3 linked regions of the Ovis aries genome follow. The protein of the gene in region 2 purifies or fractionates together with the protein of the main gene of each other region. This does not show direct contact. Links are inferred from orthologs where the notes say so. Each region holds a gene or a part of one and is shown on either strand. Other genes may lie near its edges.

Region 1 (4,289 bases), on a different chromosome or scaffold from region 2:
GCTCTGCGGTTTATGTTACACCATGTCATCCCTCACCCCCAAAAGCTCTACATGGCATCTTACCAGGTCAAATGCCATCCTGTTTTTTTCTAAACTATTAACTAAAATTGGGCTTCCCTTGTGGCTCAGTCAGTAAAGAGACCGCCTGCAATGCAGGAGTCCCAGGTCGATCCCTGAGTCGGGAAGATCACCTGGAGGAAGAAATGGCAACCCACTCCAATATTCTTGCTCGGGAAATCCCATGGACAGGGGGAGCCTGGTGGGCTGGTGGGTTACAGTCCATGGGGTCGCAAGAGTCGGACACGACTTAGCGAACAACAACCAAACCAAAATGAACAACTTTCTTTTGAAAAGCTACTACACAGCTCTACACTGTGTTAAAACTAGGGTCTGAAAAGCTGCCCTTGAGAATAAAATCCAAACCTTATTCCATTCTTTCCTTAGAAGTCAGACCAGCTTCCAGAACTTCAGCTCGGAGAAGCCCCACCTTTATCCACCAGGCATGGAAAAGAGAGGGACCTAATTAATGACAATTCATCTATTCCAGAGATTAAAGCTAGCACTGATTCAACACATCCCACCCAGAACTTGAGGCTGCATTCTTTCACCAGCTTCCAGCTTCCTTGATCAATTTCTTCCTTCAAACACAGACAGCTAGACAGACAGCAAGCAATTAAAAAGATACTATGTATAAAATAGGTAAATAACTGGAGAACCTGCTGTGTAACACAGGGAATTCTACACAATGCTTTGTTGTGACCTAAATGGGAAGGAAATGTACAAAAGAGGGGCTATAGGATATACCCTTAGCTGACTCACTCAGTAAAGTGAGAAACTAACAGCAGAAACTACTACATTGCACTCCAATGAAAAAATTAATTTTAAAAAAAGAAAAGAATAAAAAGTTAGCCCAAAGAGATTTCCCTCTGACCTTATTATCCTCATAGCCACATCCAACAGCTCTTCTTAACATCTTCCAAACCATCATCCCAGGAGAGGACTAGGTTGACCAGCATAAATGATCGTAATTGGGGGACAATGCAGATTTGAGAGACGAAAATGCTAGAGTCAGAAACCCACAGTAGAGACAGAGGGCCACCAATGAAACGATCTGCTGTGTAGCCAGCAGTTCGGTCTCTGTATGTCAGCTGCCTTCACTACAAAAAGTTGGTTGAGATGGCCAATATCCAACGGAGCTGTTACCAGGAACAGCTTATAAAATCATCTTAATAACTCAGGCTTTTAACAGCCAAATAAACGGGTCTCATCAGCCTGTGGCCTACAAGCTGTTACAGGCAGTTTGTCAGCCCTCTCCATTCACTTTAAAACAAAGACAAGACACAGAAAAGGTGGCACTTGCTGCTTCCTGGCTCCAAAGGGGTTAAATAAAACAATGGGTCATAATTGGAAACTCCTGGTGCCCAATACTTTGAGCGACTTAACCAGTCCAAGCTGGAGTTTTCTCTCTGGAAAAGTAGGAATCACAGCTCACAGAGTGGTAACAATTAAACGTGACAAAGCAGAGTGCCTGTCACAACAGTAGGTGCCCAACAATTGCGGGCTCTTCCTTCCTCAGAGCTATGCTTTCCTCAGCTTCCCTGTCTAAAAGCCTGGCTTTCCACAATCCCCAAACAGGCCACGCCAAGCCTACCAGTTGTCACCAACTCTCAGTAATACCCACCTACACACACACACACACACACACACACACACACACACACACATACACAGGAATACTCAAGGATTCATCACCCACCATCCAAGGGTACCAGCCACCAGCCTTCCCTCTTCAAACAGCTAGCGCACCCTCAGGGAAAGACCTGAGCCCCAGCAGCTACTACTAAGATTTTCCCATGGTGCAATGCAACTCCCCCCAACTTTTCCCGGCCCAGTTTCCAAAGAAACCTAGCAGGCATTGTGCACAGTCAACCACAAGTCTCGCCGAGCAAAACAGACTTGAGCTCAGAGCAGAGGGAGCTAAGAAAATCAGAAAGTGAAAAGGCACGAGCGGTCCTGAAACCGGGTGCCAGGGACCAAAATTCAGGAGTACCAGCCCTGGCCCGGGTTCTATTCTTTTAGACCTTAACATTGACTGAAGGCTAGCAGAGGTTCTCAAAGGACTGGTGGATGAAGAGTCTTAGAAAAGGGACTGACTAGACATACCTCCGAGGTCGCCCCGCAGGCTGGACCCGGTGGTCTCTAGTGGACCCCGCTGCGTGCCGCGGCACCTGGAGAATGAAGGCCTACAGTGCCGGGCATTGTTCACAGCAAGGGCGGGATTGCAGGAGGTGGGAAGCGGGGGACGGTGGGGGGGTGGTCCACGCACCAGCCCCTCCCCCGGCGGGCTGAAGGAAAGCAAATTTTCCGCGCGGCCAGCGCCAGGTAGATGAATGGCCCTCGCGACCTCCCCTCTCGGAGAACCGGAGAGAGGAGTTGCGGAAGGCGGATGCGAGGGGCCGGGCAGAGGGGTCTGACACTCACCGGCGCCCTCGGCGGGCTGCGGCGGCCCGACGACGCCGTTCAGGTAGAGGATGGGCAGCAGGTGAGGCTGCGTCTTCTCCAGCGCCGCCCGCAGGTCGTGGAAGTGGTCCCGCTCCTTGGCCAGCAGCAGCTTGAGCAGCAGCTCCGCCTTGGCGCCTCCCGCCTCCTCGTCCAGCTGCCGCCGCTCGCCGGGGCTCAGCGCTCCCGCGGCCTCGAGCAGCCCGAGCACGGCCTCCACCTCCGTCATGGCCTGGGCCAGGCTCTGCTGACACTGGGCGAGCAGCTCCCGGCGCTGGGGCTCCATGGTGGCGGCCGCCCCGCCCCGCCCGGCCGGACGGCTCCCGGGCTCCCCGAGGCCGGCGGGCGCGCGCGCGCAGGCGGGGAAGCGGGCGGGCGGGCGGCGTCGGGACCCGGGCGCCTCGGGGCGGCGAGCGCTGGCGGTCGCCCTAGCGCGCCGGGAGCCGCGAGGCCGCGGGGGCCATGCGCCGGGGCCTGGGCGGGCTGGGGGCCCGGGCGGCGAGAGCGCTCAGCAGCGGCCGCCTCCCGGGCTCAGGAGCGCAGCCATGTTGGCGGCGGCGGCGGCGGGACTGGAAGAGGAGGAGGAGGAGGAGGAGACGGAGGAGGAGAAGGAGGAGGCGGAGGTGGGGACGGCGGCCGGGGCGCGCCCCGAGGCCCGGCTCCAGCCGGGCATGCTCCCCCTCCCTCCCCCCCCCTCGGTGCGCGCCGCTCTCTCGCCGGCCCCGCGAGGAAAAACTCGCCCCGAAACGCCGCCCCCCGGACGCAATCACAGCTGCGAGAGGACAAGCGGCGCGGTCGTGCTCGCCAGGCCCCCTCGACGGCTCAGGGCCCGCCCCGGCGCGGCCCGCTCCGTGCGCCCCGGCGCGGCTCACCGGGGCCCCGCGGCCGCCGCCCGCTCCGCCAGGCCCGCGCCCCGCCGCCGCCGGTCTGTCCCTCCGCCCCCCTCTTCTCTCCCCTCCCTTCCCGCGGCCGGCCTTTCAGGAGCCCGGGCGGCCGGCCCCGAGGGGATGGGCGAAGGGGAGGGGTCCCCACCTCCCCGCCCCGAGCCCGCCTGGGAGGCGGGGACACCGCGCGCGCTGGCCCTCCGGGTCTCCGAGGCCCAGGCTCCACCCGCGGTAGAGTTCGCGGAGTTAGGGGCCGGGTGGGAAGCAGCCCGCCCCCTCAGCTAGGCACATGGCCAGCCCCCAAGCTATTGGAGACCCGCTTCAAACAAAGCCCTGCCCCCCGGTCTAGCGTTTTCTAATCTGAAATACTCCACAATCAAGCCTGGAGACAACTGAGGGCATGTCCCCTAAACTTGGCCACCTCCAAATTTAGACCTCCCCCAAATCTGTGAGCTATCCCCACTCACTGTAAGGAGCTCTTATATAGAAAATGATGGTGGTTTAGTCGCTAAGTCGTGTCCGACTCTTGCGACCCCGTGGACTGTAGCTCGCCAGGCTCCTCTGTCCCTGGGATTCTCCAGGCAAGAATACAGTCCCAGGGACAGAGGAGCCTGGCGGGTACTCTTGCCTGGAAAATCCCAGGGACAGAGGAGCCTGGCGGGCTACAGTGCATTGGTAGGCAGATTCTTTACCGACTGAGCTGGGAGGGAAGCCCTATATAGAAAATATCCCAGCGTTATCCCCTGAGACCGAGTTAATCAGGATTTATGCCTCACCCGCATTTTAGATGGTTGGTCCCCAGTGTCTAAAGAAGCGGGATGTTGGAGCAAGAGATGGAGGGATGGGTTGCTGGAAGAACAAGAGAGCGGTGGGGTGTGCTGTGGAGCCACCGCGTCTCTTTGGCAA
Region 2 (3,500 bases):
GTGGCACGCAGGCTTCTGTACAGCACGTGGGCTCTAGAGCATGTGGGCTCAGTAGTTGTGGCGCTCAGGCTCTCTAGTGTGGCATGGGGCCTTAGTTGCCCCACGGCATGTACGATCTTAGTTCCCTGACCAGGGATTAAACCGAGTCCCCTGTGTTGGTAGGCGGATTCTTAACCACTGGACCATCGAGGAAGTCTCCTTCCCATTTTTATTTGTTTATTTATTTTAATTAATTTATTTGGTTGTCCTGGGTCTTAATTGCAGCATGTGGGATCTCGTTCCCAGACCAGGGACCGAACCTGGGCCCCCTGCATTGGGAGTGCAGAGTCTTAGCTACTGAACCACCAGGGAAGTCCCTGGCCCATTTTTAAAATGTTCAAAACCTCTAGAGTAGTTGTGCTTTTTCTCAAGTTGCAGGTTGGTAAGCTGTGAGGATCACATCAGCATTTTTAAAATAATAGAATGGAAGTCTTAGAATACCTTGCATGTAGAAAGGGTATTTCATCCAACTCTTACACAGGTGTGTGTGTGTGTGTGGGTGTGCTGGATTGATATTACAACATATTCTTTTTACTATAGATAATGGTTCAGAAAGCTTGAAGAATGTTGAGAGTTCCCTGACAGTCCAGTGACTAAGGCTCTGCACTTATAATGCAGGGGACAGAGGTTCCATCCCTGGTCAGGGAATTCAGTTCCCATGTGCAATGCAGTGCAGCCAAAAAATTCAAAAAGAAAGAAAAAAAAGAAAATGGAGTAATGTCCCAGAAAGCAAGGGAACTGGTCTCTCTTGGTTTATTTTGAGGGCAAAGGCCGTGAATGCACCTAGTGAATGTTTCCCTGGAAGAGCTGGCCTAGGGAGAGAGGGGGCAGGAGGTGGCTGGATGGAGAGAGGTGGGAGCAGGAAGGGGCTGGAGACCATCCTTCCTAGGACAGCCCCACTAACAGTAGTCAGTATGTGGGCTTGGGGACACACCAGCTGTCCTCAGGGAGTTTGTTTTTGATGCGGTGATGACCTTCAAGGTGGAGGCAGGAAAGGACCCAGTCATGGCAGTGATGCTAAGACCTGCACGGTGCTCCTTACCAACCTGCCATGGAGCTGTGTGACCTGTATATAACCAGCTGGTCTTCTCCAAGCCTGACCCCTCCATGCAAGGTGTTAGGTTACAATGACTCTGCCCCATGTAGGCACCTGCCTATGCCTGGCAGCCAAGGGCCCTGCAGATACTACCACCCTCCCTCTCTGTGACCAGGGGGAGCGTGTCTGCCTGATCCGCAAGGTGAATGAGCACTGGTACGAGGGCCGCATCTCGGGTACCGGGCGCCAGGGCATCTTCCCCGCCAGCTATGTGCAGGTGACCCGGGAGCCCCGGGTCCGGCTCTGTGATGACGGCCCCCAGCTCCCGGCGTCTCCCCGCCTGCCCACCGCCCGCCTGGTCCATCACCCCAGCTCTCCCTTAACACCGCGCAGCCCAGCTGACCCCACTGACTGGGGGGGCCAGACCTCCCCTCGCCGCACCGGCGTCTCCTTCCCTCCCCAGGAGTCCAGACCCCAGACCCAGGTAAGGTGACCTGCCTGAGACCCGAGAATGAGCCCTGCCCCCTGTGCTGTATTCCCCATTCCCGGGAGGCTCTGCGTTGTGGAATCCCCCGCAACTGCTCAGGATAGTCTAGTGGGGTGACCGAAGAGAACCTTGCGTTGCAGTCCTTGAGGACCCCAGACCCTGGAGCTGCAGCCCAGGGAGGCAGGGGTCTCTAGGTGGGACCTCCCAAACCAGCACAGGCCTCCTGACCTTCCAGAGTCCACTCTTGGGATTTATCTGTATCAGCGTCTTGGAACAGGGTGTGCTGGGAGTCGGGGTATCTGCCATTCACCTGCTGTGTGACCTTGGGCAGATCTCTGTGGGTTTGAGTTTCCTCGCTTGTAGAATGGGGATAGCGAATCCCACTGCAGAGGGTGGTTGGTAGGAAGTAGCTGATGGGCAATGATGGCCATTGGTCGTCATGCTGACATTGACCACAGACAAGGGCATGTGCTCTTGTGTTCATCCCCCACTCAGCAAATGGTTACGGGGAGACAGAGCCCATGCCCAGGACACCTCCTGCTCCCAGCTCTGTGCACACGTGCAGATCAGCCACCTCCCCTACCTGGGCCCGACTTCCCAGCACCTGTGAGGTCACAGTCAGACAGGTCTCCCTGTCCTATGGGGACTGCGAGATAGATGAGGCAGTGTGGGATGCTGTTCCTGGGGAGAGGGGCAGGCCTGTTCACACCTCCTTCCTCATGCTTGCTTGTGCCCGCCTGCCCTCCTATGGACCCAGAGTCTCAGCACCCCCGGATCAGCTCTGTCCCATCCTGGAGGCTCCAGCCATCCCCAGGACCTGGGGACCTTGTCCTCCACCACCTCCGAGATACACTGGACCCCGTGAGTACCATCTGGGATGCTTCGTCGGCGTTGGGGACTACCCTGCAGGCAGTGCTGAACACACATTAATTTACCCCTCCCTACCCAGGATGGAGTTGGGAAATTTCTCCTAAGGAGTGCTTGTCCTCATAGTGTTTATGGGTGATTTTGGTGGGGTGTGTGTGGGGCGGGGGGTGCGGGAGTGGGAGGACACTTGTCTGCAGTGTTCCTGACCTGTCCCTCCTAGCTCTGGGCCTGAGAACAAGCCTCCCACACTGGGCACCCCTCCCCTCCGTCTCTCACTGAGTTTCCAGGGCTGAGGTCAGCATGGGTGTGTGCGCAAAGTGGAGCACAGATTTGAAGGCATTGAGAGCTCAGGGGAGGTGGAGTGTGGGTGAGTAGGGCTTGGAGAGGTGGGAGCATGCCTCAGATAGAGGCACTGAAGCCAGAAAGAATCGCCATGCCCAGAGCTGGGCCAGGGACTCATGGGAGCATGGAGGGACCTGGGAAGTTCCAAGAATGTGTCCACCTTGGTTCGGGACTATCCAGGCCTGGTCTTGGGAGGGGCTAGGGTCCTGGTGGTTGCTATGGCAGTGTTTCCTGCAGGTACCGGGCGATGTACCAGTACAGGCCCCAGAATGAGGACGAGCTGGAACTGCGGGAGGGGGACCGGGTGGACGTTATGCAGCAGTGTGACGACGGCTGGTTTGTGGGTAGGTGGGCCTGGCGGGCAGGCTGTGGGCAGGTGCATCTCAGAGTTCTAGGGGACTGGGCTGGGGGACAGGCCAGAAAGGGTATCTCAGAGTCCCGGGAGGAGGGGCTGGGGGAGAGGCCAGAAAGGTTATTTCAGGATCCTATGGAGATCTGAGTGGCTGCTCCTGCCTGCCAGGACTGGTTCAGCAAAGATTCATGGGCTGACCACCTCCCACCCTTCCAGCCCAGCACTGGCTACTTTCCCAAAGCCAGCACTCTGTTCTCATTCCCTGAAGAAGGGTGAGGCCTGGGAGGAAACCAGACTAGCTCAGGGTCATTGTTGAAGCCAGTGGGACTCAGGGCAGCAGGGTTCCCAACCCCCAGGCCTCTGTTCCTTCCATCATA
Region 3 (4,180 bases), on a different chromosome or scaffold from region 2:
CTTTCCAAACCTATTTTACAAAAAGTCTGCCTGCTTTCTCAAAATCACTTTTTTTTCCTAACACTGTAAACCAAGGTAACTTTGACATATCCATATTTTATGTGAGGACTCACAGAACTATGATTACATTTTCCTTTTAGATTTATTTCCACTCAGTTAATTTCATTAAGGCAGCCTTCATTTTTTAATAATTTTTTTAAAGAGTATTGATAATGGCTTAACAATCTGTTTAGTACACCCAAGATTTGTACTGGGAGCTTTCAGAAATATTAAAATCAAATAGTTTTACCAGCTTTCATTTGTTAAAGGATAGATGTCTTGAGTTTAACATGTTTTTTGTTTAAAAATAAACAAATACGATGGTAACGATTATACAATAAATGCTAATTTGTTTAAAGTGGAGATGTTTATTCTATAATTCAGGGCAGTGTGTATTATTTATCATCTCCATATTACCAAACTTCGTTTTAAGCCAGCTGTCTAGTGTTTAACCTACTGAGCAAAGGGAGTTACTCTAGTTTCCAATATTGAATATAAATTTTTAAAAGATTCCTGAGATTTCGGATTAAGTTAGATGTATTTTTCTGAGTGACATCTCTAAATGGGTACATTCATTTTGGATAAAAAGTAAACAAGGCCTTTGGTGTTTGAGAAGAAGAAAAACACGAGGAGGGGAAAAGGAAATATTTTTCAATTCATAAAACATCAGGGAAATGTGTGGAGGACCCATAGAGAAACGAACCCAAACTGCAATATTACAAATACATGTATCCTTTTGAGAAATACCACCGGGCAGTAGAAACCTTTTCTAAGTGCCTTTGCTTTTTAGGAACGTCCATCAGCAAGGTCTCTTCCACAATCCTGGCAGAGGCCTGTTCATCCATTTCCACTGTTGAAGTTGGGACAGTGTCTGAGAAACCGCAGGCACCTGCGGCTCTGAGCGAACTGGCGAGGAACACAGGGAAGGGCGTCCCTTCTCTCATTTTCCGTCTCCAGCTTCCAGAATTTTCTGACAGGAGCTCGAAAATCTTTTTTCTCGTGTCTCAGAAAAAAGCTACTTCGGGGACGGGTCTGCAATGACGCTCCGCAAAGGTGTGCGTCTCAGAAGAGGGGATGACAGCTCGCTGGCGGAGACGAGCCACCTCCTCTCTTCAAGCCTCTGTAGAGGACGACTATCCGAGGAACCAGTTCGGACGCCAAACGCTGCGACGGTCCCACAACCCCGCGTCACACCGCAGAGCGCCCGTAGCCCGCGCCTCAGCCGGAAGTGGGCGTGGCCTCGGGCCGGCTAGGCGAAGCCAGGCGCGGCGTGGGGAGGTGGGGTTCCTCCCGGGCCCGGCCCGCAGCCGCGCGTTTCCGGCGCGCTCCCCCGCGTCTCGCGTCCTGTGGTCTCGCCCGTACCCCGCTGCCATGTTGGATTGTGAGGCCGTTGCCGCCGCCGCCGCCGCCGCCGCCACTGCCGCCGAAGGAAGGTTGGGGGAGGAGTTGGGAGTTTAGCGCAGTCGCCGGAGTGCGAGGACAACGACCATCCGGCCAGAGCCTACCCCGGCGGGAACGGGGAGCTTCCCTTTCTCACAGCGGCCCGCCGTCGGCTCCTCCTTCCGTGGCCTCCTCCCTGCGCCGGAGGAGCTGCGAGATGCTACGCCTCTGATTCCCCTCCTCCCGCCCCTGTCACCCAGAAGGGGAACGAGCGCTCGCCCACTCGCCCGAGGAGACGGCCCTGGCCTCCCTACCCCGCCGGCGAAACCATGAGCTCCGGCCAGCAGCAGCCGCCGCCGCCGCGGAGGGTCACCAACGTGGGGTCCCTGCTGCTCACCCCTCAGGAGAACGAGTCCCTCTTCACCTTCCTCGGCAAGAAATGTGTGGTCAGTGTGTGAGACCCGCATCGCCGCCCCCGACCTTAGCCTCCCGGGCCCGGGAGGGAGCGCCGGGAGGTGGGAGTGGGGAAGGAGGCGGGAGCGGCGCGGGGAGAATCGGACTGCTGGCCAGGCCTTTCTCTGACCCGGCTCCCTGGGTGCGGGCAGTGCGGGCCGGAGGCCGCCTCTCGGACCTGCCCAGGGAGCAGGGAAGTGTCAGGTCCGCAGGCCTGTTCTGGAGCCCTGCTCGCTCGGACCCGGGTCCGTGCCTCTGCTGCTGGTTCAGACTTTACTGTCAGGCCTCGCGGGGATATTTTTATAGGAGCTGCCTGATCGTAGTAACTGGGCTCCTGGACTGGCTCTCGCTTCTCCTCCTACGACCCCGATGTGGGGGTACTTTCCTTCACAATGCCATTGGTTTCAGGAGTGGGTGTGGGTCGGGGACCGAAACTCAGATATGAATGAATCGGGCCGTAAGGTCGTCTTTTATTCTCCCTTGAGGATCTCAGGAAGGAATGAAGTCGAGTCCATCGGTTTAGAACGGGGGGCAGGTAATGCTGCTGCTCCCCACTGCAGAGAAACGAGGTTTATTTCTCCAGCAGTCTCTCTCAGGCCTGGTTTCTCTCCTCTCCACTGTTTTTGTTGTTGTTTGTTTGCATTGGTCGGAGATGCTGCTCTCCCAGAACCAAGCTCAGGGGAACCGCGATCTCCAGCAGTTCTTGCCTTTTGGGATCTGAGAATGGGTCTTACTTAGGTCGGTGCTGTGCGGCCTGTTCCAACTCCAGATGGCTGGTTGGAGCCAGCAGCTCTGCTGTGGGAAGGGGAATGTGTTGTTGACGGAAGCATTCATTACATTGGCTGCTGGCGCTTCTGGGGGTGGGGAGGTTGTGCTCTGTGGGGTAGGCCTTGTCAGCCTGCATCTTACTGGGGTGGCCGAGTTGAGCTGTGGTTGAGATTGTTGAAACGCTGTTCAGTTCCCTTTCTCCCCTCTTTACTGGTTAACACCTGCAGAGTCTGTGCCACTGGCACCCCGGAACCACCGAGGGAAATGTCAACAGAGCTGTACCTTTTACAGCTTTCCTTCTAATGTTAAATGTGTCACCCAGACTGCACCTGCTTGTTTAAGAAGTTAGGATTAGACAAGTTCTGGGAAGTTACTAGATTAATTGTTAACTTTCTAGGAGTTTACCCATTGTATCCTGTTCCACCTGGTAGGAGATTGAATCATTACGTTACGTGCAGATGTGTTTCGTATTTCAAAAGTTAGACCTGATCAGAATAAAAAAAGGTGCGTTAGAATCAGGATTTGGGAAAACAGCTTTGAAGACAGTCAAGCCCCCTCTTCACTCTCCCCACACAGTTTTTAAACAAACAAGATAACTGAGCCGGTGAGCCCTCTGTCTCACAGCAATTTAGTAATGTAACCGGAACTAGAAAAGCAGGACTCCTCATGCCTGTTGTGTTGTACTTTCCACTACATCATGTTGTTTTAGAAGTTTTTTTCTTACTTGTTATTTATTTAAAAGTAGTGTTAAAGAAATAATCACTTTTTTTTTTCATCAGAAGCTGATACAATTAAGGTGTAAGATTCTTAAAGCAGCCCTAATTTGTGCATATTTTCAATTTAGGAAAATCTCCAGCCATTTGAATGTGACATTATCTGCAAATGAAAAGTTTTTTAAAAAAATTTTCTGGTACACTACTTATGTTATATAATCTGTCTCAGAAAAGGAAGTAATTGTACTATGTGTTACATACCAGACACATTAGGCAGGGAGGGACATTACATTTATACACAAGCATACTGACTAATTGCTCTGCATTTCCTATAATGTTTACTGGTGTCAAAGAAATGACAGACATGTAAGAATACAGCGATAGATAAAGAATGGATTTCTGTCATTTAGAACCACACTGTTGGAGTTACCTGCTCTTGCTGTATGAAATGGTTGCAAAGATTAATATTTGAAGTCTCCAATTATTAGACAGTAAAGAATGAGATCTTAATTTCTGGAACAGTTCCCCCCCCCCCCCTTTGCTGACCATGCAGTATTTTGTACATTATTGAAATATTTTATCTCATTAAAAAAAAAATCATGCAATGAGATTTACAGGTCAGACCAAATTTGTTAAGCAAGAAGTGCATTCAGAGCTTTAAGAATTATCAAGAAAATGAAGCTGGAGTAGTTACAGTCGTAGCTCTCAAGGAGTTTCATTCCTTCTTTCACTCAGCAAAGTAGTATTGAGTAGCAAAGAGTCGGACACAACTGGGCAACTTCACTTCCTTTCTATAGTTCCTTTTGGAGAAGGAAATGGCAACCCAC

The links. The genes of interacting proteins can lie anywhere in the genome.
Region 1: the proteins of SORBS3 (region 2) and DLG5 purify together in Homo sapiens (co-immunoprecipitation; 3 studies listed by BioGRID and IntAct, with this or other methods). This does not show direct contact. The link is inferred for Ovis aries from reciprocal best matches to the Homo sapiens genes SORBS3 and DLG5.
Region 3: the proteins of SORBS3 (region 2) and WASL purify together in Homo sapiens (co-immunoprecipitation; 3 studies listed by BioGRID and IntAct, with this or other methods). This does not show direct contact. The link is inferred for Ovis aries from reciprocal best matches to the Homo sapiens genes SORBS3 and WASL.

What each region holds. Positions count from the first base shown.
Region 1 is NC_056078.1:32,821,739-32,826,027, forward strand, and holds the start of DLG5 (disks large homolog 5), read right to left. Parts: upstream 2,801-4,289; 5' UTR 2,786-2,800; coding exon 2,164-2,785; intron 1-2,163. UniProt on the Homo sapiens protein: Acts as a regulator of the Hippo signaling pathway.
Region 2 is NC_056055.1:43,071,711-43,075,210, reverse strand, and holds part of SORBS3 (vinexin), read left to right. Parts: intron 1-1,250; coding exon 1,251-1,559; intron 1,560-2,319; coding exon 2,320-2,423; intron 2,424-3,008; coding exon 3,009-3,270; 3' UTR 3,271-3,500. UniProt on the Homo sapiens protein: Vinexin alpha isoform promotes up-regulation of actin stress fiber formation. Vinexin beta isoform plays a role in cell spreading and enhances the activation of JNK/SAPK in response to EGF stimulation by using its third SH3 domain.
Region 3 is NC_056057.1:89,673,191-89,677,370, reverse strand, and holds the start of WASL (actin nucleation-promoting factor WASL), read left to right. Parts: upstream 1-1,380; 5' UTR 1,381-1,748; coding exon 1,749-1,865; exon of another isoform or gene 1,866-4,180. UniProt on the Homo sapiens protein: Regulates actin polymerization by stimulating the actin-nucleating activity of the Arp2/3 complex. Involved in various processes, such as mitosis and cytokinesis, via its role in the regulation of actin polymerization.